Callithrix jacchus: one gene and its partners. The protein of the gene in region 5 interacts with the protein of the main gene of each other region in a pairwise test. Links are inferred from orthologs where the notes say so. Each region holds a gene or a part of one and is shown on either strand. Other genes may lie near its edges. The genes, in order: NMI, BEX5, BEX3, placenta-specific protein 9-like, EMILIN1, ZC2HC1C and MTMR9.

Evidence for each region.
Region 1: the proteins of EMILIN1 (region 5) and NMI interact in binary tests that used the Homo sapiens proteins (3 or more experiments, as listed by UniProt). The two-hybrid records come from large-scale screens. The link is inferred for Callithrix jacchus from reciprocal best matches to the Homo sapiens genes EMILIN1 and NMI.
Region 2: the proteins of EMILIN1 (region 5) and BEX5 interact in binary tests that used the Homo sapiens proteins (3 or more experiments, as listed by UniProt). The two-hybrid records come from large-scale screens. The link is inferred for Callithrix jacchus from reciprocal best matches to the Homo sapiens genes EMILIN1 and BEX5.
Region 3: the proteins of EMILIN1 (region 5) and BEX3 interact in binary tests that used the Homo sapiens proteins (3 or more experiments, as listed by UniProt). The two-hybrid records come from large-scale screens. The link is inferred for Callithrix jacchus from reciprocal best matches to the Homo sapiens genes EMILIN1 and BEX3.
Region 4: the proteins of EMILIN1 (region 5) and placenta-specific protein 9-like interact in binary tests that used the Homo sapiens proteins (3 or more experiments, as listed by UniProt). The two-hybrid records come from large-scale screens. The link is inferred for Callithrix jacchus from reciprocal best matches to the Homo sapiens genes EMILIN1 and PLAC9.
Region 6: the proteins of EMILIN1 (region 5) and ZC2HC1C interact in binary tests that used the Homo sapiens proteins (3 or more experiments, as listed by UniProt). The two-hybrid records come from large-scale screens. The link is inferred for Callithrix jacchus from reciprocal best matches to the Homo sapiens genes EMILIN1 and ZC2HC1C.
Region 7: the proteins of EMILIN1 (region 5) and MTMR9 interact in binary tests that used the Homo sapiens proteins (3 or more experiments, as listed by UniProt). The link is inferred for Callithrix jacchus from reciprocal best matches to the Homo sapiens genes EMILIN1 and MTMR9.

What each region holds. Positions count from the first base shown.
Region 1 is NC_133507.1:79,070,439-79,074,237, reverse strand, and holds part of NMI (N-myc-interactor), read right to left. Parts: coding exon 3,785-3,799; intron 1,018-3,784; coding exon 855-1,017; intron 1-854. UniProt on the Homo sapiens protein: Acts as a signaling pathway regulator involved in innate immune system response.
Region 2 is NC_133524.1:98,239,121-98,243,287, reverse strand, and holds BEX5 (protein BEX5), read right to left. Parts: upstream 2,965-4,167; 5' UTR 2,742-2,964; intron 2,682-2,741; coding exon of another isoform or gene 2,494-2,681; exon of another isoform or gene 2,334-2,493; intron 2,201-2,333; exon of another isoform or gene 2,055-2,200; intron 1,970-2,054; exon of another isoform or gene 1,907-1,969; intron 1,817-1,906; 5' UTR 1,752-1,816; intron 1,323-1,751; 5' UTR 1,293-1,322; coding exon 957-1,292; 3' UTR 739-956; downstream 1-738. Other genes in the region: T-complex protein 11-like X-linked protein 2, read left to right, coding at 2,494-2,681.
Region 3 is NC_133524.1:99,447,553-99,451,021, reverse strand, and holds BEX3 (protein BEX3), read right to left. Parts: upstream 2,314-3,469; 5' UTR 2,238-2,313; intron 1,836-2,237; 5' UTR 1,757-1,835; intron 1,403-1,756; 5' UTR 1,374-1,402; coding exon 1,038-1,373; 3' UTR 790-1,037; downstream 1-789. UniProt on the Homo sapiens protein: May be a signaling adapter molecule involved in NGFR/p75NTR-mediated apoptosis induced by NGF. Plays a role in zinc-triggered neuronal death.
Region 4 is NC_133513.1:43,250,124-43,253,867, forward strand, and holds the end of placenta-specific protein 9-like, read left to right. Parts: intron 1-1,873; coding exon 1,874-1,997; intron 1,998-2,519; coding exon 2,520-2,530; 3' UTR 2,531-3,007; downstream 3,008-3,744.
Region 5 is NC_133515.1:87,938,690-87,943,034, reverse strand, and holds the start of EMILIN1 (EMILIN-1), read left to right. Parts: upstream 1-1,481; 5' UTR 1,482-1,930; coding exon 1,931-2,100; intron 2,101-3,061; coding exon 3,062-3,181; intron 3,182-3,956; coding exon 3,957-4,177; intron 4,178-4,345. UniProt on the Homo sapiens protein: Involved in elastic and collagen fibers formation. It is required for EFEMP2 deposition into the extracellular matrix, and collagen network assembly and cross-linking via protein-lysine 6-oxidase/LOX activity.
Region 6 is NC_133509.1:109,982,801-109,987,250, reverse strand, and holds the start of ZC2HC1C (zinc finger C2HC domain-containing protein 1C), read right to left. Parts: upstream 2,863-4,450; 5' UTR 2,735-2,862; exon of another isoform or gene 1,900-2,734; 5' UTR 1,881-1,899; coding exon 528-1,880; intron 1-527. Other genes in the region: ACYP1 (acylphosphatase-1), read left to right, coding at 3,100-3,262.
Region 7 is NC_133514.1:10,730,851-10,734,649, forward strand, and holds part of MTMR9 (myotubularin-related protein 9), read right to left. Parts: intron 2,052-3,799; coding exon 1,888-2,051; 3' UTR 1-1,887. UniProt on the Homo sapiens protein: Acts as an adapter for myotubularin-related phosphatases. Increases lipid phosphatase MTMR6 catalytic activity, specifically towards phosphatidylinositol 3,5-bisphosphate and MTMR6 binding affinity for phosphorylated phosphatidylinositols.

The DNA of each region.
Region 1 (3,799 bases), on a different chromosome or scaffold from region 5:
TAAGTGCCCAACATTGTGCTAAGTATTTTATCAACATTTGCTAAGTACGTTATCAACAATAACAACATTTATTAAGTTTGTATTAAGTATCCAACATTGTGTTAAGTATTTTATCAACATTTCTCATTTAATACTCAAAGCAGCCTCATGAAGTAGGTACTACCACAAAGCACCTGTATAAAACTCTGTGGTTTATAAAGAACCCATCCCACATCATGCTTCTAGGAAGGGATAAAGCTGGCACTCAAAGCCAGATCCTCCCCATTCAGGAACCACCAGCTCTGAACAGGGGCCCTCACCATGGCAGACTTAGCAAATATCAGGTCTCATTCCAAATCTCTAACTCCTAGTCTCTTTCCATTCATTAGCCATGTTCCCTTAGGTAAATCCCTTAAACATCCTCAGAATCTGTTTTCTTGGCTATGGCATGTCTATATTTAATGTACACAATAATAACTGTCCTATCCTCCTACATTTATGGAATTGTGTGAGTATAAAATGCCACAATGTCTCTGAGAACAGTATAGTTCTACTACCGTGAAATATTACTATCATTACTATTTGGAGGTAGCACGTGGAATAGAAAGAGGCTGATGTTGGACATCACAGCACCTGAATTTAAGTCCCACAGTCATGGCTTTCTAAATAAGAGATCATATTCAAGTCACTTGTCTCAGAGTCAGTATTCTCATCTGTAAATGGGAATAATCATACCTGCTTCAGGGTGTCACTATGAGGATAAGAAATAATATAAGTAAAAATTGCAAAGCAATAGCTAAATGTCTGTGAAAAAATCTTTGAAAGTCCAAGCGCTTTCCTAATAACATGGTCATATTTTTTAACATTAGTCATACCTTCTTCTTTTTCAAAGGTGATAAGTGCTTGTCCTTTCTGTAACTCATAACGAACTTTCGAGCTCACTTGAAATGAACAGGAGATATTTTGAAACTGGCTGTCATTCTCAGGAATTTCAAGTGAAATGAATTTCATCTTTGTTTCAGGAATATCCTCCTTAATCTAATTCAAACAAAAATGTTTGATTAAAATCAAGACAAGAAATAACTAAAGTCCTTCCAATGATAATGTAATTTGGTCATCCAATAATTATTCCCACTGATTTTAGAATCTTGTAGAACTCTGAGTATGGTCTTACTTAACATCTTTAGTAATTGCTTTTTTCCATGTAAGTGCTCAGTAGAGTAATCAAATGATGATCTTTTAATATTATTTCACAGATGAAATTTAAAACATATAATCCTCTCACTTTTTCTAATCAATGTTTAAATTGTCAATATTGTATGATGCTCAATTCTAAAACTTACATCGTTCACGTAGATGAGGACTATTTTTAAAAGTGCCAACAACAGACTATCTCAAAAGGAAATCATTTGATATTATGTTTAATTTCACTGCAAAGTATGAAATATAGAGTTGGGTATAATTTAGTATTTCAAATCCAAATAATTTCATCCAAAAAGAAAGACTCCAGAATTAGATTATTTTATTTTAATTATTTATTTTTATTTTATTTTATTTTTGAGATGGAGTCTCGCTCTGTTGCCAGGCTGGAGTGCAGTGGCACAATCTCAGCTCACTGCAACCTCCACTTCCTGGGTTCAAGCAATTCTCCTGCCTCAGCCTCCTGGGTTCAAGCAATTCTCCTGCCTCAGCCTCCTGAGTAGCTGGGACTATAGGTGTGTGCCACCACACCCAGGTGATTTTTGTATTTTTAGTAGAAACAGGGTTTCACCATGTTGGCCAGGATGGTCTCTATCTCTTGGCCTTATGATCTGCCCACCTTGGCCTTCCAAAGTGCTGGGATTACAGGCATGAGCCACCGTACCCAGGCCAGAATTAGATGATTTTAAATTTATTAAATTTTAAAATTCCACCTTCCCCAACACCTGCCCGTCAACTTTTAACCATCACCACAACTTAGGTTTATAAAAAATGAGAAGGGACAGTATGAACAAAAATTATAACCTGAGGCTGGGTGCGGTGGCTCATGCTTATAATCCCAGCACTTTGGGAGGCCGAGGTGGGCCAATCACCTGAGGTCTGGAGTTCGAGACCAACCTGGCCAACATGCTGAAACCAGTCTCTACTAAAAATACAAAAATTAGCCAAGTATGGTGGCAGGTACTGTAATCCCAGCTACTCAATCCCAGTAGGCTGAGGCAGGAGAATCACTCGAACCCAGGAGGCAAAGGTTGCAGTAAGCCAAGATTGCATCATTGCACTCCAGCTTGGGCAACCAAAGCAAAACTCGTGCCTCAAAAAAAAAAAAAAAATCATAACCTGAAAGATAAAGGTAGGTGGTTATACTTAGCTGCTTAGAATTATTGGGATTAGCATATTTATACAGCCCACAAATGAGATAGGGTGCTTGCATTTCTATTTCCCATGGTTATTTTGCATGCTGACAGTAATACAAATAGATTAGAAATATTCAGTGAGTCAAACTTATTCTTTGCCTTTACACGTAACTGCAGTGTAGATTCTGATTACGGTAAGGCTGTCTTCAAAACAATCTACAATGTCTGAGAAAAGGCAGAGTGTTACCCAATAATGCAGAAATATCCAGTATATGCTGAGGAGCCAAGGGCTTTCTGAAATTAGATTGAGAAAGTTTGATTCTATTTCTGACCCCACTGTGACAGAGAGCAAATTCACTTAAGCTCTCTGATCACGGTTTTGGTCCTCTGCAAGGTGGGTCGTCTAGGGCTGGCTGGTTTCTAAAGGCTCTTTGAGTTGTAAGACTAAATGATTCTAGCTTCTGTCTGAGAAGTAACTAGAATCTTAAGAGGCTTCTGCACAAAGTCACTCATTTCATAAACACAGAAAACCTCACTTCCCGATATTCAATATCCTATCTCCCACTTCAGAAACAAAAAGTGTCAATGCTTTAATTTTTTTTTTTGAAATTTTAATAATATATTTAATTAAGCCAATATATCTAAAGTATTATCATTTCAACATGTAATTAATACAAAATTAATGATATCTTTGTATTTTTGTTTCTAACCTAACACTTCAAAATCTGATGTGTATTTTTTTTTCCTTTTTTTTTTTAATTGCATTTTAGGTTTTGGGGTACATGAATGCTTTAATTTTTTAACAATCTGAGTTGTTAAGAAGAAAAGAGAGTGAAATTTATGTATAATTAAAATACAGAAAAATTTAGGACAGAATTTAAATGGTGAGGATTAATTTATGTCCAACTTTTTAAACCGTGAAACTCATTTAAATTACCAAAGCACCTTGGATGAGAAGAAGAAGAAAAGAACTCAGTGAGAAAATCCAGAATTTGATCCAACAATGATTTACTAATGATCATCTTTTTTGGGTAAATTTTATTAATTTTTTGTTATTGTAAATTTGTTAAAGTGTGCATAAATAATAGGAAAATGCATGTATCCTAAGTAATACAGCAAGGGCATCAGTACAACCTCACAGCAATAAGAATGAACAGATCACAATGACATGCAGCAACACAAGTCTCATAAACACAATGTTAACACAAAAAAGACAGAAGAGGGCATACCATGGGCTTCCCTTTAAATTAAGCAAGAGCAGGATGTTTGAAGCTAAAATAGTGGTTACTTTTAGAAGCAGATAAGACCCAGAAAGGAACCCAAATGGGGTTTCTGAGGTGTTGTCATGTCTGTCTATCATCAGAGTGTTAATCACACATTTTAAAAATGAATTTTGTATAATTAAAATGCTTTTCCCAAAAACTATGTGTCCATCAAAAATGTAGCATATAAAATAATTAAGAGAGTACCTGGAATTCTCTGGT
Region 2 (4,167 bases), on a different chromosome or scaffold from region 5:
ATTATTTAAAATATTGTATAAAATTACCTTCAGGCTATGTGTTTGAGGTATATACAAAATTAAATAAATTTCATGTTTAGAGTTGGGTTTCATCCTCAAGATACCTCTGTGTACATGCAAGTATTTCAAAAACTGGAAAAAAAACAGAAATCTGAAATACTTCTAGTCCCAAGCATTTCAGATTTTGAACCTGTACTCACCTATAAATCAATTGGACTCCTGATTGGTACACTCTTTGGAATCTTCCCTAAAAATGAAGGGCACCTGGAGGGCTGGAGCCTTGCATGTATAAATAGAGCAAGACACAGAGCTCAGTCACTACCTCATTTGATTCCCACACAGCTCTCTAAGACATTTATAATGTAATGTATCTGTTATTATCAGATATATGTTTCTAAATGAGAGATCTACAGGTAATATAAGATTTATAGGTCTTTAAATCATGCTTCAAGTGTTTATTAATTGTCCTCATTCCCTGTATAAGCTGATTGGCAAGTTTGTTGATTCTTGTTTTTTTTTTTTCGTGATACATACAAAACATAGGTATTAATTTTGAAAAAGTGAGAAAAAAAAACCAGCTAACCAATAAAAAACATAAAGAAATTTAAAAGTACCAGTAACTATACGACATAGAAAAAGCACATTCTGGTTTTCATATATATATATTTCACATAAATTATATATTTTATATATAGTGCGCGTACATATGGTTCTAAATGAAATAGCATATCTATAGACTACTTTTAAATTGCTTTATTAACTTTAAAGTGTGCAATAAACATCTTTCCATGAAAGCTGATGAAAATCCTCTTCTGACAGAAAAACTTCCAGACTAGATCTAAATGCAATCTCTAATCAGAAAATGGCAGAAGAATGTCAAAAGGTTCACATTAAAGGTATACTAGGAAAAATGCAAATTTGGAAAGCAGGGATTTTATGATTATTAACCTCAAAATTCAAGGCATAAGGCAAAACTCATCATGATGATCATGCTGAGGGGGGTCCCCTATAAGAATGCGCAGACTGTACCTCAACTGAAGTTCCCTAATTTTCCTCCTTAGCTCTCTCATCTCCTCCATGAACCGTTCCATATCATCTGCATCTCCGTCTATCATATCAATGTTATCAACAAGCCTATCGGGCACATCCTCTCCAAAATCCTGGGCACGTGGAGCCTGAACCCCTCTAATATTTCCTTCAGGCTCCTGGTCTTCACCACCTCCTAAAGTGGGAGCTTCATTCTGCACTGGGGCCTTCTCCACAACTTTGTTTTCCTTGGGGACATTTTCCATGTTGAGTTTTTTATTTCCTGTTTTTTCTTCCTAGAAGATCAAAAACATAAGAGGGAATGAATACTTGGTAGGATTCAGAGCTCTGTTTGAGAAAAGTTTTCCCAGCTGAGAAACTTTGTGAGCCCTGTAGGGGACACCCCAGACCCAGCGCTGCCCCAAAGCCCACCATTTTCCCTGAAAATCCCTTGCCCAGGCCACTCCTACCACCAAAATGCAGGACGAGTTGCGGGAGGGTGACAATCATAGAAAGACCAGACTTCATTCAGCTCCCTGGGATCCTAATAAGCTCTCCAGGAGTGCCCCTTTACTCCCTTCTTCCCTCATCAGACACAGGCTTGCCGTTTTTGAAGACTCTCCTAAGTTTCTCCTGCACTTAACTCGGGCAGGAAGGGCCGTGAGTCACCAAGATTCTACTCTGATCCTTGATACCCCTACACCAGAGGGCCCCAGGCAACCTACCTGCAGGGATGAGGCAGTCTTTCTCTCTTAGTCTTGAAATCTGCTGCACGAACGTACTAAAAGACCTGAAGACAAATGCGACAATTACCAGGACTGATCATTTGATCAAAGAACCGGTGCTGGGAGTTGATTTATGGTTCTCCTAGTATTAGCACCTTCTGTTTCTCCTCCATCCTGTCTCACGGCTTCTCTTCCCAACCTGTGACAGGCTATCCCACCTTCGAGAAATAGGCATCAAAGATTATTATTTCCAAAACATTTTAACCTCTTCTTTAGGCTCTCATCCCTACTATTTCCTCCTACCTGTCACCAAATTACCATTTCTGGAATGCATCTTGCCGGGCGGGGGAGTTAGAAGAGCTTGCTGAACGGATATGTGGTTTATTCACAGAGAATTTCAATCTAGGTATCCGTCAGGCCCTACTCCTTTGCCCACCATTTTATGCATCAAGATGGACGATAGGGAGGTATGTGGGCATTGCAAACTACGACCTGCTGCGGTCTCTGCGCTTTGTCATTCTCACTCCAGGATCTACAGCAGCGCCGACGCTTACACCGACCTACCTGCTGGGACCAAAAACAGTTTCTCGCTCCTAGCCTCTGTCCCTCAGTCAGAAGCTCGCCCGCCCAACTGCCTCAGTAGGGACCTGCTTTCCAGACCTAATCTCTGTCCCCCTCCTCTGCAGCAATTCCTCTCCTCGGCCCCCGTAGCCTATCATTTCCAGCTCTAAATGGGTAAAGGATGAAGAAAAGATACCTAGAACACAGGCCTAAAACCTTGGTAGGGTCCGCACTCCCCATCCCTTGGTTGCCTGCTGCACCTCCCTCTGGCGGCCATGCAGTAAGCAGGCCATTTCCTAGCAGTCTCCTCCCCCGGCCGGACTCAATCAGACATTGCCTGATCGTCAGCCTCCTAGGAGATCTCAAATGGTATGCATTCTCAATCCGGGCCCCTTGGGAGATCCCCTCCCCAACCGATCCATTTCTCACGCTAAACTGCTGTGTATCTGGAAAGGGGTCGATAATCCAGTCGTGGACCCGCTCTTGTCTTTGCCTTCTGCCGCCCCCACACCGCTCAGAGCCCACCAACCTGCTTAGAGCTCCTGTGGAGTCGGCTTCTACCACTTTCCTCCTTTCCTGGGCAGCTGGTTCGCCTGCCTTCAGAGCAACAGCGAGCCGTCCCACTGCCACCGACGACTACCAGACCGCAACTAGGAGAGACTAATCAACGCGTTGGCTCTGGGTCTCCTAAGGGCCACGTCACTGTGAGCTCAGATTTCCAATTACCATTCATCCCGCAGTGCGGCAGGAGGGTGCGGACGGGACTGTGGGCGGGGCCACCTTTCTCCTGATTCTTGCTTTCTCCACCACCACCCACCCCTCTATTTTTTAATTTAGCGATCCCCAAGACCAAACGGGTCATAATATTTTGTAGTTTGTATTTGGCTTTCTCTGTTTTCTGCTGGAGCTTTTAAATAATCGCTTCCTCCTCTTCTATATCCTTAAACGCACACTTCTCTCACCTTCGCATCCCAGAAAATAAAGCCTTAACAGTTTTGCAGGCCTTTGTCCCAGACTGGAACCCGAAGAAGGGGTGGGGAGCACGAGGCTAGGAAGTCTGGAAAATAGGTAGGAAGTGGCATTCAAAAATTTTTTCACTTCAATTACTTTCCTTTTTGTTTATTTGGGAAGGTGGATCCTTTTGTTTTTCATCAGCATGCATTCATTTTGTTGTTTTTATTACTAGACAATACAATTATTTTCAGTTGAAAAAACAGGATTTTAGTTGTAAAAATATGACAATCTGTTTCGACTGCTGAATCATATTATAAATATAGACCTTCCAGAATGCACTCCCCTACCTCCTTTAAGGACTTTGCCATATAAGGGTGGTTTCTCTTGTGAAGGATCTCTATCTGCACGTCTTTCCATGAGGTGATGCGTTGAGTCTAATAGAGCCTTGCTGGTGGGTTTTCATATCTTGAGAACTTGTGACAAACTGACGATCTCCTCTAAATTGTATTAGTGTAACTTCACCTTACAATAACAGCCCTGAGAATTCAGGACAATAATTTGGGGAAGCCACCCTGACAGATGAAAATGTATTAAGATGGACACATAGAGGGGAAAAACAAACACTTAGGCCTACAGGAAGATGGAGGGTGGGAGGAGGGAGAGGATCAGTTTACGTATGTAACAAAACTGCACATGTACTCCTGAACTTAAAAGTTAAAAATATATTGTGAAATTACAATGTTAAAATAATATTGTACTGGAATAAATATAGAACTAATGAGAAAAGAAAGCCTATTGTCAAACCCAAATATGGAAAAATGCTATTAAATCGATTGAAATATTTTGAATCAGTGGGGAAAGGTTAAATTGAAGAAATTGTGTCAGAATAATCGGCTATTTT
Region 3 (3,469 bases), on a different chromosome or scaffold from region 5:
ACTTGTAAGCATGAGTGATAATTCCTCCAGTTCTCCCTAAGTACCTGGTGGGGGTCCCAGTCCTATTAAATGTTGGGGAGTTGGGGACAGAAGCCAGCCCAACACAGTTCCACATTTCATCAGTTCCACTTAGCAACCCTGTAAGACAAGCGTTGTTCCCCATTTCACAAAGCAGAAAACAGGCTCTTTAAAGGAATGTATCTGTAATAAAGGGAAGGTTTATTATTTCAGTTAAGAGTGAAAGATAAAGTTTATTCTTCAAATTTGTTGAGGCAGTATTGTTATGTATCTGGACTACATTCATAATCCATTCATAATCTCATTTAAAAATAATTTTCATTGCTTCTCAAACTCCAGATAATAAAAGAAAAAAAGTGTCACATACCTTTTTTTTTTTTTTTTTGAGACAGAGTCTTGCTCTGTCGCCCAGGCTGGAGTGCAGTGGCACAGTCTCAGCTCAGGCTCACTGCAACCTCCGCCTCCTGAGTTCAAGCATTTCTCCTGCCTCAGCCTCTTAAGTAGCTGGGACTAAAAGCGTGGGCTACCTCGCCCAACTAATTTTTTGTATTTTTTTTTAGTAGAGATGGGGTTTCACTGTGTTAACCAGGATTGTCTTGATCTGCTGACCCAGTGATCCGACCCTTGGCCTCCCAAATTGCTGGGATTACAATTACCATAGAAAAATATGCCCCAATTAACACTCTGGTGTATTTAATCTCAGATTTTTTTTTTAGTTCATCTGTTATATGTAAGGATACATTTTTAATGAGACAATACTAAATGTATAGATTGTTTTTTAAATTGCTTTATTAACTTTAAATTTTTCCATGCACATGGGTGAAACTCTACTGCTGACAGAAACTTAGACTGAGTGCAAAGGCAATCTCCAATTAGAAGCTGGCAATACAAGACCCACTTGACACATGGAAATAACATAGGGTTCACAGCAAACGGATCAGTAAAGGCATATTAGGAAAATGCAAGGAAAAGGAAAACAGCGAGAATCACAGTATTAATCTCATGATAAATGGCAGGAATCAAGGCATAAGGCAAAATTCATCATGATGGTCGTGGTGATTCGAGAGCTCCCCCATAAGGATACGCAGACAATTCCTCAACTGCAGCTCCCTAAGTTTTCTCCTGATTTCTCTCATCTCCTCCATGAATATTTCCATATCATCTCCATCTCCACCCATCCCATCATTGACCTGCCTATTGGGTATGGCCCATCGAAAATTAGGGGCAAGTCGGCGAGCCTGTGCCCGTCGATTTCCTGCAGGCTGGTGGCCTTCACCTCCTCCCAAAGGGCGGTCTTCCTCTCCATTCTGCATGGGCTGCTCCATCTCTTCGTTTTCCTGGTGAATATTTGCCATGATGAGATTTTTTTTTTCTGGTTGTTTTTCTTTGAACACAAGTAAGACAAAGGCAAGGAGAGAGACTGAATGCTTGGTACACTGACCAGCAGGATTCAGAGCCCTGATATCAAAGGATTTAATTTCATATTTTCCCACCTTAGAAGTTCCGTGCGTCCTCTAGGGGGCCTCCAATTAGAGCCCCTCCCTCCAGCTTTCTCCCCTTACCTCCCTTCCCCCAAACCCACCATTTTTCCTTTCCCAAGATTCTTTCTCAGAGCTTCGCAGGCAGCAAAATGGAGGACGGGTGTAGGAGTGGGGGGATGGGGTGGAGAGGGCTGGGGTCTCAGACTGGGCTTTCCTCACGCTCGGACCCCCGCACCACCACCGTCCCTCGCACCGACCTGGGCCTATCCTTGCGGTCTCCTCCTCCTCCGGATTCTCGCCCCGAGGTGCGCCGCCGGGACACTTAGCCTCGCAGACCTGCAGATGGGCAGGGGTGGGGGGATGGGGGCTCCTGCAGCGGAACGCTAGCAAGGATTATCCACCACCCAGCTCCTTCCCCGCCCCGGGCCCGGGCTTTCCTTGCGGCCAGCGCCCCGCGTCCCGCACTCCGCGCCCCCACCCTCAGCCGCCCCACCCCCCCGCGGTGTTCAACGTTTTCCTGCAGGAACTCGGGGGTGGTTTTCCCTCGCTCTTGGTTGCTCTGCTGCCCCTAGGACCCCAGCCGCTCCAGCTTGCCCACCCCAGGTGGCCTCTATGTTCCCAAGAATGTTGGGGTGTGGAGAAAACTGGCGGGGACCCCCTGCGCTGTTCTGCGCCCGTCGCGGGGGTCCGTGAGCCGCTGCCGGCCAGGCCGGGGTGCACGGACCCCGGGGATCTTACCTGCTCCGCTTTTCCCCGGGCCGGATGCCAGCCCGCCGAGCGCAGGGCAGCGGGGAGCTGGTAGCCAGACGCGAGTGACGACTGCACCGAAGGCTGCGTAGCTCTGCAGCTCTGGGTCACGTGAGGGCCGCGCGTCACCGCTGAGCTCGCCCCTCAACTTGGGCGGCCAGTGCAGCAGGATCTCCCCCCTTTCCCCCACCCCCGCCGCCAAATGCCCGCGCAAAAAGCAGCCTCCCTACTCCCGTCTGCGTGAGGTGCCCCAGAGCGCACCGCTCTGTCACTCTTCTGTCCTCTCCAATCTGAGGGCCCACAAGTGGCATCACTGCTCTGCGGTTGGAGTTTGCTCTCCTCTGGTTACCAGGGAGAGTCTGCACTATCCTCCACCACCGCCTCCTCTCACTCTAGGCCTTGGCTTTGGCCTTTTCTACTTTCTCTTCCCTTCTACCTGTCACTTTGCGCTGCATTCCCACCCCTACCCCTTGCATGTGCACAGTCACCAATGCCCATGTAGCCCCTGAAGTCCTACCCTTCTGGAAAATTTAGAGTGAGGGCAAAGGTGGGAAGGCAGGACGGCACTTGTCAGAAAGAGGGGCAAGGAAGTGGAGTGGGCAGTATCTATTTCTTTTTGTTTCCTTTTCTTTAAAAATCTGCATGCTTCAGAAAATTATAAATTCTAACTTTTCAATTTTGAAGGAAATGCTGGCCGGTGGCCATGGCGCACCTGCAATCCCAGCACTTTGGGAGGCCGAGGTGGGCGGATCGGTTGAGGCCAGGAGTTCGAGACCAGCCTGGCCAACATGGTGAGACCCCTGTCTCTACTAAAAATACAAAAATTAGCCGGGTGTGGTGGCGCGCGCATGTAATCCCAGCTGCTCAGGAGGCTGAGGCAGGAGAATCACTTGAACCCTGGAGGGAGAGGTTGCAGTGATCTGGGATTGCATCACTGCACTCCAGCTTGGGTGACAGATCCTGTCAAAAAAAAGGAAATGCTTTATCCTACAGAATGAAATCTTTCACTGTTTATGTTGACCTGTACCACACAAAATATTTTCTCTGAGCTCCACACACATCAAACCATTACTTTTGATACCTACTAGCTCATTTAAAATTTTATCTTCATAAAAAGTAGGCACTCTTTCTGAACACAATTGGTGTTTTCAAAATGATCTGTAAAGTAAATTTTCAGGGAGATGTCCAGTCCTCAGATCTTCACCATTTCATGTAACTTTGAT
Region 4 (3,744 bases), on a different chromosome or scaffold from region 5:
TCCTCCTGGGTTCAAGAGGTCCTCCTGCCTTAGCCTCACAAGTAGCTGGAATTACAGGCATGTGCCACCACGCATAGCTGATTTTATATTTTTAGTAGAGATGAGATTTCTCCATGTTGGTCAGGCTGGTCTCAGACTCCCGACTTCAGGTGATCCACCCACCTCCTCCCCCGAAAGAGCTGGGATTACAGGGGTGAGCCACCAGGCCTGGCCTAGGATGGTGTTTTTATGGGCAGATGCAAGCTTGCTTTGGAATGTCAGACTGTACAGGCCAATCTTGCACTGTGGCTGCCTTGTCCAGCATCACCCTCCTATCTAGTCTGGCTGTCCAGCCCCCAGTGGACCCTGCTTCTCCTAAGGCCTTACTTGCTCCCATGCAGATAGATATTTCAGCATCAGTGCTGGATGGGAAGGTAGAAATTCAGTCACTATTTTGTTATTTAGCCATGATTCCTAACTTGTGGGGAAAAAAGCTTGCATTTGTATTGTTGCAAGCCTTTAACTGAAATTGAGCATTCCCGTTCCTCATAAATACAGACAGCAAGCAGTGGTATTAACAGTACTATAGCTTGGTCATCAAGAGAAATCCAGATCATTTCACCTTGTTCTAGTTATGAATATCTCAACACATTATTTATAACCTTCCTATGTCAACTTTTCTGTTGTTGTTAGGCCTGATGTTAAATCATGTGACTTAATAAATACATTTTTTTTTTGAAGCATTGTCTCCCTGTTACCCAGGATGGAGTACAGTGGTGCAGTCTCACCTCACTGCAACTTCCACCTCCCAGGCTCAAGTAATCCTCCCACCTCAGCATCCCAAGTAGCTGAGACTACAGGTGCATGTACCACCATGCCTGGCCAATTTTTGTATTTCTTTTTTTTTTTTTTTGGAGAAGTGAGGTTTTGCTATGTTTCCCAGGCTGGTCTTGAACTCCTGAGCTCAAGCAATCCGCCCACCTCAGCCTCCCAAAGTACTGGGATTACAAGCATGAGTCACTATGGCTGGTCAATATGTATGTTATATCCAAAAGTTTAAATTTTTATTTTACAGAGTCCTGCTCTGTTACCCAGGTGGAATTCATGGTTCAATCTCAGCTCACTGCAACCTCTGCCCCAGGGTTCCTGTGATTCTCATGCCTCAACCTCCCGAGTAGCTGGGACTACAGACATGCACCACCATGCCTGGCTAATTTTTTGTATTTTTGGTAGACATGGGGCTTCTCCATGTTGGCCAGACTGGTCTCAAACTCCTGACCTCAAGTGATCTGCCCACCTTGGCCTCCCAAAATGCTGGGATTACAGGTGTGAGCCACTGTGCTGGGCCAAAAAGTTTAATTTTTAATAATGAATAATATTTTAATGCAATCGATGCCCCTGGTAATTCCATATGCTTTATTTTTTGCATTTAAGGCATTATTCTGAGAAGAGGTCTGTAGGCTTCATCACACTGCCAGTGGGGTCCATGGCATACACAGGGGAAAAAAATAACTATTGAGAACCCTGAGTAAATTTCAAAATCCCAAATCTGTCATTCAGCAGAGACACCACCAGGGAGCAGAGCAACAAAAGAAATGTGAGCGCCAGGCTGCAAAGTCCCAAAAGGGAGAAGGTATTCTAAAGGCGTTTCACCCCAACCTGTGACTGAGTGCCAAAAAGGAAGGAGCCTTAGAGAGCGAGCCCGCTAGGATATTGTCATCTGGGGAAACTGAGGCAGGTAGGGGCAGAGCCTGAGTGAGGAAAATCAGTTCCCGCAGCGCCCAGTCCTTTCCCACTGCACCCCACTGGACCGCTAGCTGCTCCTTAGGGCCTAGCTGATGAAGCGGAGTGCGGCACCACTCCTGTCCTCGACTTTACCCCCTTCCCACAATAGATTGTAGAGAAGACCGTGGAGCACCTGGCGACAGAGGTGAAAGGCCTGCTGGGCCTGCTGGAGGAGCTGGCCTGGAACGTGCCCCCAGGACCCTTCAGCCCGGCCCCCGACCTCCTCGGAGAAGGTAAGCACTGCAGGTGGCAGAGGAAAGCCTCTGAACTGCTGTCATCTGGGGCTGGACAGAGGCGGGGGGGGGGGGGGCTGCTCCACCGCACAGGTGTAGGCTGGACAGCAGGGAGGGCCCCAGCGCCCCCGGGGACAGAAGCGGGACGGCATCACCCCTCCTCACCAACCCACACCCGGTCGCTGCCGCCCAGTGTCAAGACGAAATTCGGGAAGAGCCGGCCCTAGATACCATCTCCGCACACCCCAGCGATGAGAAGCTGCCTCCTTCACTGGCCTTCTCCGGACTAAAGCTCCTCAGCTCCTTTCATTTCCCCCTTAGAAACCCCTCCTGTTCCACCCCAAAACCCTCAGGGAAGACGGCACCCCACTGATCAGGAAGGGACGGAGTTGCACTTTGCTCTCTTCTTGATCCCGGTGTCCCGGAGGGCTGAGGAGAGGAGGGAAGAAACTGTTGGGCAGCACAGGCCAGGGACCCTGCAGCACCCCAGCTTGCTCACTGGAGGCCGCCGCTTTCTTTCAGATGGCTTCTGAGCCCCGGAGCTGGAGCCCAGCAGCTGGAGGTGGTGCCCTTGCCAGGCAGCACCCTCTGAGAGCCAGCCCTGTCCGCTCGCCTTCCTTCCGCAGCTTCGTGTGCAATAAAAGCTCCTCCTTCTGTCTCCTCTGTGTCTGCTGACAGAGTAACCCGTTTAACTACAGCCCCCTCTCCCTCCACTTCCATGCCTGGAGGAGGCCTACAACCCCCCCCCAGGCTCAGACCTGGGGACACCCCCATTCCCGCCATCTGTGCTTTAGTCCTCCTTAATTACAGGAGCAGATGAGCAGGGGTTGATTCACAGAGGTGGGGGCTCTTCGAGTGGCCTTGCGTCTAAAAATGTGGCCATAGGTGAAAAGCAAGGGGATCAGGGTCTCAGGCCCCACCCAGACTTCTTAATCCAAATCTCCATTGCAATGAGACCCCCAGGGAATTTATGTGTACATTAAAGTGGTTTGTTGTTTTTTTAAAAAAAATTCCTATGAAGTGAAATTCAATGTAAAATTCATCATTTTAACCATTTTAAATTGTACAAGGCTGGGGGAAGTGGTTTACACCTATAATCCTAGCACTTTGGGAGGCCAAGGTGGGAGGTTCACTTGAGCCCAGGATTACGAGGCCATCCTGGGCAACATGGTGAAACCCTATCCCTGCAAAAAATACAAAAAATAGCCTGGCATGGTGGCATGTGCCTGTAGTCCCAGCTACTCAGGAGGCTGGGGTGGAAGGATCACCTGAGCCCAGGAGGTCAAGGCTGTGGTGAGCCATCATGGTGCCACTGCACTTCAGCCTGGGTGACAGAGTGAGACCTTGTCTCAAAAAGAAAAAATCATACAAATGCAGTGTCTTCCGGTACATTCACAAGTTGTCAGTCATTACCACCAGTTTCAGAATACTGTTCAAACTCTAGAAAGAAACTCTGTACCTGTTATGCAGTCACATCCCATTCCCGATCCCCCAACCCCCTGGAAACCACCGATCTCTGTCGCCATGAACTTGCCTATTCTGGACATTTTAAATGCAGTAGCCCGCTTTATCTGTGGTTTCACTTTCCATGGTTTCAGTTACCTGCAGTCAACCACAATCCTAAAATACTAAACTCCAGAAATAAACAACATATGAGTTTTCAGTTGTGCATCATTCTAAGTGGCGTGATGAAACCTCTCACCTTTCCCCTTTGTCCCACCCCGGACATGAACGCTTCCTTTATCCA
Region 5 (4,345 bases):
TCCACTGATAGCTATCAGACTTGCCTATAGTCTAGGGAGTGACTTCCTTTGGTGCACTAAAGATAGGTCCCGATTTAACTCCCCCCACCCCTATCCAGTTATGGCCTGACCACCACCAAAACAAGCCCAGGACCCATTTTCATTTATCCCTTTAAGAAAGGTTTTCTCGGGGCCGGGTGCGGTGGCTCACGCCTGTAATCCCAGCACTTTGGGAGTCCGAGGCGGGTGGATCACGAGGTCAAGAGATGGAGACCATCCTGGTCAACATGGTAAAACCCCGTCTCTACTAAAAATACAGAAAATTAGCTAGGCATGGTGGCGCGTGCCTGTAATCCCAGCTACTCAGGAGGCTGAGGCAGGAGAATTGCCTGAACCCAGGAGGCGGAGGTTGCGGTGAGCCGAGATCGCGCCATTGCACTTCAGCCTGGGTAAGAGCAAAACTCCGTCTCAAAAGAAAAAAAAAAAAAGAAAGGTTTTCTCTCCCTGCCTACGTGCCCTCCACTGTTTGACAGAAGCCTGCCTCCATTGCCAAATGCCTTTCTTCCTCTTCTTTTTTTGAGACGGAGTTTTGCTCTTGTTACCCAGGCTGGAGTGCAATGGCGCGATCTTGGCTCACAGCAACCTCCGCCTCCTGGGTTCAGGCAATTCTCCTGCCTCAGCCTCCTGAGTAGCTGGGATTACAGGCACGCGCCACCATGCCCAGCTAATTTTTGTATTTTTAGTAGAGACGGGGTTTCACCATGTTGACCAGGATGGTCTCCATCTCTTGACCTCGTGATCCACCCGCCTCGGGCTCCCAAAGTGCTGGGATTACAGGCGTGAGCCACTGCACCCGGCTACCTTTCTTCCTCTTCTATCATCTCTGGATTTCCCGTCTGCCTCAGTGGAGTCTTTGACCTTTTCCTCCCTGGCCCAACAGCCCACTCTCCTCTCTTCCTTTCTCCTAAGTCACTGACCTGGTATTTAGTGTGTACTCTCAGCCTTACCACTAACTTGCTGTATTACCTTGGACAAGTTACGCTCCCACTCTGACCTCAATTTTCACATCCTTAAAAGGAGACTAGATGGCGAGTGAAGTCCTGCTGAGCCCTCCAAGCTCATTCTCCCTGTCCAGTCCTCCCGTCCTGCCCTCCCCTCTGGGCGCCCTCTCTGGGGCCCTCCCTCTCCCCCAGGAGAGGCCGGCTCCAGTCCCAGGAGAGCTGAGGCTCTGGCTCCTGTTCCCGTCAGAGTGACCAGCCCTGGGCCTCCTCCCCAGCTTTGGCCCGGGCTCCATGTGGCCCGTCTGAGAGGCTGGCCTCAAGCCCGGCGGCATTTCTGTTTTTCCTTTTTTTCTCCTCTTTCCCGGAGTTAACAAGAAGCAGATGTGGCGCACGATGGTTGGAGAGGTTGGGAGAGGAAGGGGGAGGCCAGACCGCCAGCCAGACGGGGGGAAGGGAGGGGAGCCAGCAGGGAGGGAGGAGGCCAGGGCCCGCCCCACGGCCATTCTCGCGCCTCCAAACAGCCGCAGGGGCAAAGCCCTGTCACCCCCAGGATCCTGTCATCAGGGAAAGAGGACAGGGAGACCAGAAGAGGGCCATCTGGGACAAGGGGGCGGTCGCGCAGGACACAGCTTCAGAGAGCAGCTCCTGAGAGGGGCAGGGACGGGGCGCGGGAGCCCAGAGGGGGCACAGAGAACAAACCCCCTCAGAAGTGAAGAGGAGAGCGGAAGGAACCGAGCAGGACGGACAGGAGCTGAGGAGAAAAGAGGAGGGGAGAGGGGTCAAGCCAGGCAGCCAAGAAGAAGGCGTGTGGCCGGGGGACTGCCGGCAGGAAGCCGGGTCGGACGGGACGGGCTCGCGCCCTCCTGCAGAGCAGCGGCATCCCCGGGCCGGCAGAGGCGCCAGCAGCCGGACGGGATGAGTCTCTGAGGGCCACTGCGGAGCGCCCCGCCATGGCCCCCCGCGCCCTCTGGAGCTGCTACCTCTGCTGCCTGCTGACCGCAGCTGCGGGGGCTGCCAGCTACCCTCCTCGAGGCTACAGCCTCTACACGGCTGCCGGTGGGGCCCTCAGCCCCGGGGGGCCCCAGGCCCAGAGCGCCCCCCGGCCTGCCAGCCGCCACAGGTAAGAGTCTGGGTCCCAGCCCGAGGCTCCGGTGGTGAGAAGGGGGTCAGAATGCTGCCCCCGCCTAGCTCCCTGCCCTGGGCTGTGTCCGATAATGCAGGGCAGAGGGGAAGTGAGGAAGCCCATCCATCAGGTGGCTCCTCACATGCCCACCTTCCAACGAGGCCTTTTCCAGGATCCCCTGAGCACATGCGCTCCCTGGGTAACCTAGGGGCTCTGCTCCCACATCCCCCTGTGGAGCACCAGAGCCCTGCAGTTACATGCCCAGGGAAGCTGCCCTGAGGGGCATGGGCCAGGACTTCCTGCCAGATGCCTTGTGTCTCCCAGCCCCAGAGCCTCAGGGAGACCTTCTGTCCCTCTCTGGGACTCCCTTGGCCCCATCCAGTAATCTATAATTCTGACACCACTCCCGCTCTGTTCCCTCCAGCCCTCCAGCCAGACATAGATCAGAGGCCGGCATGAATGGGGCCAGGAGTGAAGAACTGCAGGCCCCAAGAGGGTCAGGCTCATCAATGGCTTATTCTCTACTTAACCTGGAGCTGGTCTGCTCCCATCCCGGAGGGGTGGGGTGGAAGCCGGTGTCCAGGAGATCACCCACAGGGCCCTGGCTGTCGTGCTCACACAGCCTGCCAAGCTGGGGACTCAGATACGGCCAGAAAGGGACACGCATGATCGGGTACCTTCAGAGGTTCCCTAGGACCCCACCGCCATGGGGACTGACTGCTCTGTGGTTGTGGTTTTCCATTCTGCGCCTCTCCCTATCTTGAAAAGTCTTCATCTGCTCCAGCTACACAGGAAAGCGTGGGGGATAGGGAGGATGCCCCTGCCAAAGGCCTTGCTCTCATGGATCCCCAAGGGTTCTGCATCTTTTGAACCATTCTCAGCCCCTCTGGTAGCCCCTGGCCCCTCCCCCAGGGCATGTGTCTTTGATTGTTGGATGCAGAGGGGGTTGTACCTACAGGAACTGGTGTGCCTATGTGGTGACCCGGACAGTGAGCTGTGTCCTTGAGGATGGAGTGGAGACATATGTCAAGTACCAGCCATGTGCCTGGGGCCAGCCCCAGTGTCCCCAAAGCATCATGTGAGTCCCAGGGCTGAGGAATGGACCCTTGGTGGGAAGTGGGTGAGGGCAGATGGTGGGTGGCCAACTCAGGGAATCCGTACAAAGCAGGGATCAAGGGCAGAGCAGGGCTTGGATCACAGCCATTTTGAGGAGATACCGAGGCAGCAGTTTGGCTTTTGAGGAGATACTGAGGGCAAATCTGCCTCATCCACCAGCCCCAGAAACCTTCTCTGGGGTGGCTCAGGCTCAAGCAGAGGAGCTCAAGGTTCCAGTGCAGGGCAAGGGAAGGAGGAGCAGGGATTTAGCCCTTGGTTAAAAAGCTGACAGCTAGGCTGGGCTCAGTGGCTCACCCATGTAATCCCAGCACTTTGGGAGGCCGAGGTGGGTGGATCACCTGAAGTCAGGAGTTCGAGACCAGCCTGACCAACATGGAGAAAACTGTCTCTACTAAAAATATAAAATTAGCTGGGCGTGGTGGCTCATGCCTGTAATCCCAGCTACTCAGGAGGCTGAGGCAGGAGAATCCCTTGAACCCAGTAGGTGGAGGTTGCAGTGAGCTGAGATTTTGCCACTGTACTCTAGCCTCGGCAACAGAGCAGACTCTGTCTCAAAAAAAAAAAAAAAAAAAAGCTGACAGCTGTCAGCTGAGCAGGGCCACATGTTGGACAGTAAGAGGGACCCAACCTGAAGGACAGGTCCTGCCCACCAGCAGCTGCTCAACCCTAAGGACAAGGACCAGGGTCACATGACTGGCAGTACAGGGAGGAATAAAGAGGCCTCCTGCCTCTGCCAGGTACCGCCGCTTCCTCCGCCCTCGCTACCGTGTGGCCTACAAGACAGTGACGGACATGGAGTGGAGGTGCTGTCAGGGTTATGGGGGCGACGACTGTGCAGAGAATCCTGCTCCAGCACTGGGGCCTGCATCTTCCACACCAAGGCCCTTGACCCGGCTTGCCCGCCCCAACCTCTCTGGCTCCAGCGCAGGCAGTCCCCTCAGTGGGCTGGGGGGAGAAGGTGAGTATGGGAGCTGCTGTGGGGGTGGGAAGTGCCAGATAGTGATCCGATGAATTGGGGAAATGTGGGGCCAGGCTACAGGGGAATCCCCCATGCCCTATGCCAGGGAGAAGGGGAACAGAAGGGAGTTAATGAGATCGCAGAAATTCCCTGCCCGTGTGTGTGTAT
Region 6 (4,450 bases), on a different chromosome or scaffold from region 5:
ACTCAGAAGCTATGTCAACACTGAGCTGATCTTAAAAGAGTAGACAGTTAAAGCAGTGTCACAGATCCTAGTCTTGGGAGGTGGCAGAATACATTGCAAAGAGTGAGGAGTTCTCTCCAGGTAACGAAAATGCTGCATTTTTCCTTTTTGTGTCCTTTAAATTTTCTACAGTAAACGTTTATTACTTTTATAATCCAAAGGGCACAAATTCTAGGTCTAGATTTTTTTAGTCATTCCAACCAAGAGTTAAATGCTGACCCTGCCACTTAAAGCTGTTTGTGACCTCAAGCAACTCACTTAGGCTATCCAAGTCTTGATTTTTACATTGATACAATGAGAGATAATGAGAGAATCACATGAAAGCTCCCATCACAATGCTGGCAAACAGTAGTAATCAAGAAATGTTAATTTTAGATGTCAATTCTTCCTACATGATACATGAATTTTCCCTAAAGAAAACTGATGACGACATAACAGACCCCTACAATGATCCCCACATCAAGTCACATCCATAAGGCTCTTGTTACCTTGGCTGAAGCTGGCCCCTTCCAGTTCAAGTACTGCTCTAGTTCTGTGCCCTTAGCCCGGGCCCTGGAGGAGTCGAACACTTTCCTCTTGGACTCCCGCATCCTGCTGCAGACTGTGGAGTGTCTCTCCAGCCTGAGCAAGAGGAATTTGCGCCCACAGTGGCTGCACTCGCCCAGTTGTGGCTCTTCAATGGAGCCGCCGGACCCTGAGGAGTCTGGTGCCATGGACAGGCTGGAATTTCTGGTGGATCCCTGCAAAGAACCGCCTGGTGTTTCTAAAGGCGGAGAGAACTTCTCCATCGACGGCTCTGAGACTCGGTCTCGAATTTTGTTATTGCTTGCCACCAGCCTTTCCCTTTTGAGCCTCTGGATTCTATAATCAGAGAGCTGGAATGGACTCGAATTTTGTTGAGACCATCCCCAAGCTTCATCCTGTCTCCTGTCTCTACCGAATTCTTCCTGAAACTCAGAGTCTGGGGAGAAGATAGGTTTGTACATGGTGTTGCTATTATTACCTTTAACTCTTCTCCTGGGTAGCATAATTTTCTGTAGCTCTCTGTTTTCATTTTCCTTGGCCTGTTCCTTTTGCTTCTGGATCTTTCTGAGTTCCTCCTCTGTCTTCTTCAGCTTTCCCCTCAGAAGACTCTGCTTCCTCCGGATTTCCTCCTCTAAGTTCTCTCCTGCAGCTTCTAGTCTTCGGATCTGCACCAGCTCAGTCCTCTCGAAGTTTACCGCGGCCCTCTCCTCCTGCACCGCAGCAAGAACAGTACCAGTCACGGAAAAGTTGACCTGGTCCCTCACACCAGGGTTGCTGGATGAAAACGCTCTCAGCTCAGGGGGCCTTGGGTAGACATTCTGGTCCCCATCCATGCCAGCCTCACCCATACTGCACGACTTCCGATGGACCACAGGTTTCAGTGGGTACGCCCGGTCCACCCCAACTCGTTTCTTTGTCAAGGGAATAAAGTCCTGGTTATTGGCTTTGGGATACCAGGATTGAGGGCCTGACGAGTAAAACGAACACTTTCCTTGGCCCTGGGAATCACTTCCTGGATCTTGCTGGCTGATTTCAGTACAGTGGGGATAGGAGTAGCTCCGCGCTTTTACGTGTGTGTTCCATTTGGGGTGAGGGTAGACTTTATCCAGCGTCAACTCTTTGTTGCTCAAAAGCTTCTTCTGGAAACTGTTCCTCAGGTGCCCCTTCAGGGACTGCTGGGAAGAGTCACCTTGTTCGGAAGAGTCACCTTGTTCGTAAGAGTCTTGCTTGGCTGAGTGGGGCCCTGGAGCTTCTGTTGTATTATGTGGGAGCATAACGCCCACAGGCAGATGTGAGGCCAACTGGAGACCAGCCATTCAGGGCCTGGACTGACGCCTATGAGAGATTTAAACCAGATACATGGGAAGGGTTTGTCTGAGATTCACTCTTGGCTGCTAAAGCAAACTATTTCTACATTTGCCCTGCCCACATTTCCTGAAACTTTTCTAGGGACAGTGGTGCTCGATCTGCCAAAGTTTCCCTTCAATAAGCATTCGGTGAGTGATGATGATGCACAAGACACTGTGTTAGGCCCTGAGGATAGAAAAAACGAAGGTGCCACAGGTGTTTCTACTACCTGGCTTTCTTTCCTCCACCACCAGCCTCTGCCACGCACAGTACACTCTATAGTAGGTGGAAAAAGCATCGGATTGAAAGTCAGGATTTAGGCTTGTAACAGCACAAGTGACTTCTGCCTTGCTGGGCCCTGTTTCTTCACCTGTAAATTGAAGGGCTCCCTCCGAGTCCAGCCTCGCCATTTTGCAGGTGAGACAGCTGTGCCCCAGAGGTACTGAGTGGCACAAAGAGCTCTCAGGTCTTCCCTCCTACTGGAACCATGCTTGACTCCAAAGAGCACAGAGGCTGCTGGGTCCTGGAGCAGGTGCCTGGCTGGCAAACCCTCATCCCAGGAGTCCCCGTGGCGCAGACGGTAAAAGTTTTGTAATCTGAGCGTTGAGGCCACCTGACCTGGCTGCGGCCTGTTTTAGATCCCGAAGGCTGAAGTCACGTTCTGTCACGAAGGGTCAACTGTGGCGCCCCCACTGCGGACTCCGCCTTTGGGGACAAGCCCTCTCGCCCTCCTGCCCTTCGGGCCCTTGGGAAGTGGAGGTACTGACCCCAAGTCTCCCCGCCCTTCTGCATACCTCAGGCCCTGCGTACCCAGAACTTGTACCTGCGAACCGCTCCTGCTCAGGGGAACCCCCAGGCCCCAGTTTCCCAAATCTGACCTCCCCCGAGACCGACGGCCGCGCAGGCGCTCTCAGCTGGGCTCTGTTATTCCCGGTGCCTGGAGACGGAGTCACTGGCGCGCCGAGCCCCGCCCCTCGCCGCGAACTCCTCGGGGAGGCGCGCGCAGGCGCCGTGCACCAGCGACCCCAGGCGGCCAGGGGCTGGGGTGCGGTCAGTCCGGGCGTCACTTGACCCAGTGTCCGGCCAACTCTGCAGCTCGGTCCAGCCCTGCCCTTGGGGAACAGGGGAGGGGCGGGAAGAGTCTTTCTGGGGCTCCATCAAAGAAGAACTTGTACTTTACTGAGAACGATGCTCCCAGACCCTGGGGTGTGCCTTTCTCGGGCAAAGGGCGGGGGCCCTGGCTGTGCCCCCGCGTGTTTCCGCCGCAGGATGCAGGCGTCCGCCCGCCTGGCGGGAGCGGGGCTGCTGCTGGCCTTTCTCGGCGCGCTCGGCTGCGCTGGGCGGGCCCCAGGTATGGCTGCACGCGCGCGCTCGCTGCTTGTCCTCGCCAAGGCTTTGGAACTTGCTGTCGACGTTTTTGCTACGCTGTATCTTTCCGGGGTAGCTTTTGTGGCCAATCTAATTATTTTGATATTATAATGTTTTACTCTCACGTGGTAACTCTGGCCGTCTCTACTTAGGGCCCAGGAATGACTCAGCCAAATGTAATGATGATAAAGTTAACTACCAGATGAAAAATAATCAGTATAACCTGGTTTCAACACTAAATGATACTCTATAACTTGTTGACATCAAAAGAAGGTTTATTTTTCTTCGTTTTGGTTCATCTGTGTAAACCGTTTGGAACAGGCAGTTCACTTATTCCCTGTAACTGCTCAATTCATGCACATGGAAAATAATGTAGACAGTAGTCATCAGTGTTAATACTTCACATTACAGCTGTTACATGTTACAAAGAAATTCCTTGGTGGACCCTCCAGGTCAGTCCTGTTTTTGTTTTTGTTTTTAATTCTTCGTTTTCATCCCTAGTTGACTCCACCGCCTCTCCATGTGTGCAGCCTCTCCATGTGTGCAGCTTCAGACACTCCCCACTCAGGGTCTGCCCGCGGCAGAATTTACCAGCTTGCCCCTCTCTCTCTCTCTCTCTTTCCCACCCCCTTCCCTCTCCTGTGAGAAAGAAGGGCCATTTTCTTTCCATGAGCTCTCTTCTCCGCCTCCCCGGTTCAAGAGATTCTCCTGCCTCTTCAGCCTCCTCAGTAGCTGGGACTATAGGCACAGGCCAGCACGGGTTCAAGAGATTCTCCTGCCTCAGCCTCCTCAGTAGCTGGGACTATAGGCACAGGCCAGCACGGGTTCAAGAGATTCTCCTGCCTCAGCCTCCTCAGTAGCTGGGACTATAGGCACAGGCCAGCACGCCCGGCTAATTTTCGTATTTTTAGTAGTCTTGACTTCACGATCCACCTGCCTTGACCTTCCAAAGTTACAGGCAGGAGCCACCATGCCCAGCCCCGAATTAGTTTTTTTCAGTACCCTCCGGGAACTGACTTTGTCACTTTACCCCTGCATTTTGTTATTACTATTTTTATTTTTTTTAATTTTTGACTCAGAGTTCTGCTAGATACCCCTGCATTTTGTTTTTGTTTTTGTTTTTTTGGGTTTTTTGTTTGTTTGTTTTTGAGACAGAGTCTCGCTCTGTTGC
Region 7 (3,799 bases), on a different chromosome or scaffold from region 5:
TCTCTAGATGGTTTTCCTTACATGCCTGTTAGCTGAGAAGAAAAAGGCTCCTTCACATACAATCTCGAGACAAAAAGAGGAGAAAACAAAAGGGTGAGCTGTATTAACAGACATAGCAAGCAATTCTGAGGGACACAAAAAAGCGAGGCTGTTTCTTTTTTTTACAAAACTAAGACGGACACTTCACACAATGCAGAGATATAAGAACACCTCTTATGCTCCTTGCCATGGGGTTTTAATGCCTCAAGGTTCATAACTACAGCAAAGAAATAAGTCAAGAATAAACTGAGCTTAAAGAAGGCAGCAGGCAAATTCTCCCAAAGAGACTGTGGACTATGGGCTGCTGTCCAGCCTTTGCTACGAGGCTGAGGAAGCAGAAGAAAGATAAAACTTGGGCAACTGGTGATGAAAAAAGTATTTGCCATTTTCAAAGGCTCTCAATGTGGCCACAGATTTTACTAGTCTATTTAAAAAAAATTACGTTTTTAGCTTAACACACAGCTCTAAAGCAGGGTTCAGTGTGGTGTGTTCTTTACCAAAATGGTTATATACAGATGGTACAGAAATGGTTTTAAAGATTACTCATGACTATCCTTTTAAAGAAAAACTAGAATTGGTCGTATTTATTAAAATGAGCAATGTCACCTAACAGAAATGTAGGTGCGAAATACCAAACCACAAATATTTAGAGTTGCAGACATAAACTAGCAGAGCATGAACACGGCCATCACTGTTTCTGTAACACTGAAACACTCCAATCTGTCCTGAAGTTGGAAACACAGAGTTACTTCATGTTTATAAACTTCCCCCTTCACTTAAGCTGTATTTGCTTAACACATAATGGACAAATCAATAGAGTCAAAATAAATCTGCAAAAGGCTCAGGTTAACATGAGAATTTTAACGTTAGTATTAGTAAACTCTTAGAATACTTACAAACTAAAACCACACACGCAGTAAAACACACATACACACATAAACCAGTGCAGTAAGAACTTTAGACAAGGGCAGTGCATCACCTCTGGTTTAAGAAAACCGTATGTGTAGCTTGATTATAACAAATTAACTCTATTCTAGATGATGATTTAATTTTACAACCAGCATTTGATACACATTGTCTATGTATGGTCAAAACCTAAAATAAAAACAATTCAACAGTAGCAATTCTCAACCAGTAACAAATTCCTACTTTACTTCTGTATTGCACATACTTTTAGTGTCTACCTGAAAATAAATTTCACTCTTCTCAATGTAAATATCAGAGGGCCGCACCTGTTGCGCTTGAAGAAATAATTTACCTTCAACAACAGATTTTCCTTTCTTGACAAACAAGAATGAGAACAGATTCAGCTTCGTTAGTCCAAAACGATTTTGAAGAAAATAGGTATTTTATGTGGCAAAGACACTGGAAATGGTATGTTAAACACAAAATTCTTGCTTTATCAGTCACTACTATTTTGAGAAACATTTCTATGCTCAGAGTGTTTAAAAGTCTGACCCTTTTTTTAAACCACCAAATAGTCCCTAGAGAGATTAACTGTCTCCTTGACTGCTCTAGAATGCTGTTTAGGGAGTGGACACAGAAAAAAAGCTTTGGATAAAATGGCGTGAACACAAATGGCATTAAATAGGTCATCTATTTCACGTAAAAATAAAATGACTAGCACCTCCTTCCTGCTCCAAGTGACAGGACCTAACAGGCCACATGAAACATGAGTTATGATAGTTTCATTATTCATACAGTATTGAGAAATCCGTTACATTAGAGGGGACCCACGTCTAAAGCCTTCACTTCAAGGCTACCGTATAAAAGTGAATTGAAGGGCACAAGGAGAGAGAGGTGGACACAGGCCCAGGAAGGTCCTTGCGAAGGGTGTGAGGAGACCTTTCAGGGACTCTCTTGCATCTCATCCTCTGTTTCCAGTTCTGCCAACTGCCTTCTAAGGATATTGACTTTTGCTTGTAATTCCTTATTATATTCAATGATGTTAACCATTTCTTCATATGCTTCATCCAAATACTTAGAGGATCTATTCCAACGTAGGAAAATACCTATTGAATCCAGGAATGGAAAACAGAAGAAGAAAGGTATATACAATGGATTAAAATTATATTTGTGGATAATATAATTTATGTATTATACATCCTTTTTCTTTTTTGAGATGGAGTCTTGCTCATCGCCCAGGCTGGAGTGCAACAGCACAATCTCGGCTCACTGCAACCACTACCTCCTGGGTTCAAGCAATTCTCCTGCCTCAGCCTTCCGAATAGCTGGGACTACAGACATGTACCACCACACGCGACTAATTTTTTACATTTATAGTAGAGACAGGGTTTCACCATATTGGTCAGGCTGGTCTCAAACTCCTGACCTTGTGATCTGCCCACCTCGGCCTCCCAAATACATTATTTTGTCTTGTTTCCACAACTCACATCTGTGTCTTATTATACTCTAAAATATACAGGAATCTTGAGGTACTGAAAATAATGCAACTGAACACAATATCTGAAAAGTCACTACTTGTATGCACCTGCTCATTGATTCTTTGGAAATATCCCACGAAATTATCAAGTAGATCCAAATACCATTCTATGATATATTCAGGAAAACAAGTTGATAATTTACAATGTCATAAACTTTCCGATTTCCCAATACAAATCCTTTATTTTTATAATTATAGAATTTTACTCAGACATGTAAGATCTCTTAAATGTGTGAAACCATTTTCACCAGGGAAGTGACAACTCCAGCACACAGGCTGTCATCTGAAAGCCTAAGCTGTAGCACATGTGCTCACAGACTCTCTCTCGGTTACTTCAGAGGCAATCTTTCCATACTGCAGCCAACCGCTTCTTTCCCAAATAATAACAATTATCCTTTTATTATGAACTAGAAGGAAATATGTTTCCACTCCGTAGCCCTATGTTAACTGTATCATACCAAAATAAGGCCTTACAGATACTCGAGTAAGGAGGCATGAAAACTTGCCAGGCCATACCGTGTCAGCAGATGGCAAGTGTACGAAGGTTTTATGATTCATTAAAACACTTTCTACAAACCAAACTGCCATGGGTCCTAATGAGCCATTCTATGCAGGTGCAAATGTCAGGCTCTATCAGAAAGGGGGAGCAGAACCACAGCCTAAAGCCTGACCCACCCATGCTGATTTTTCTATTATATGAACCTATATTCTCAATCCAGGAATTACTAAATATTAATGGTTATCTGTGATGTAAATGTAAACAGCAGAGAGACATTTTAAGGCCGAAGAGCAGTCTCATTCAATATATATGCCTACTGTAGGATTTTACCTAATAGAGAGCTTCTCCCAGCTCTAGGCTGAGGAGCATGGAACCCACACTGAAACTCCAGTGTGGCAGGAATTCTTCCACAGAACAACAAGGATTGCATCCCATCATCTGTCTCTAAGCTCCCAAGACTTGGTACAAAGCAGTGAAATCATCCGTCAGGCCACCCAGCTGCCAACGTGGCTTTTCTCCCGAACAGCTACTCTCATCAGTTATTAAACCTGACAGTCGCTTTTAGGTACATTGTCCCAGAAGTCTTGAATAGGAAGTACACCTGTAACCTCTCATTTAAGAGCTCACGAGCCCTACACTGTGACTGTGACAACAATCACGAAAGCAAGCAGAGAGAAGTTCTGAGCAGCCACTGTCGCTGCACAAAATCAAAGCACTAAAGCTCACACTTAGAACCGCAAGATCATCTAAGGCCATTTCCCCACAACGATAACTAGGGGACGCCTCAACAGATAAGATTAGAAGTGAACTGAGGTGGA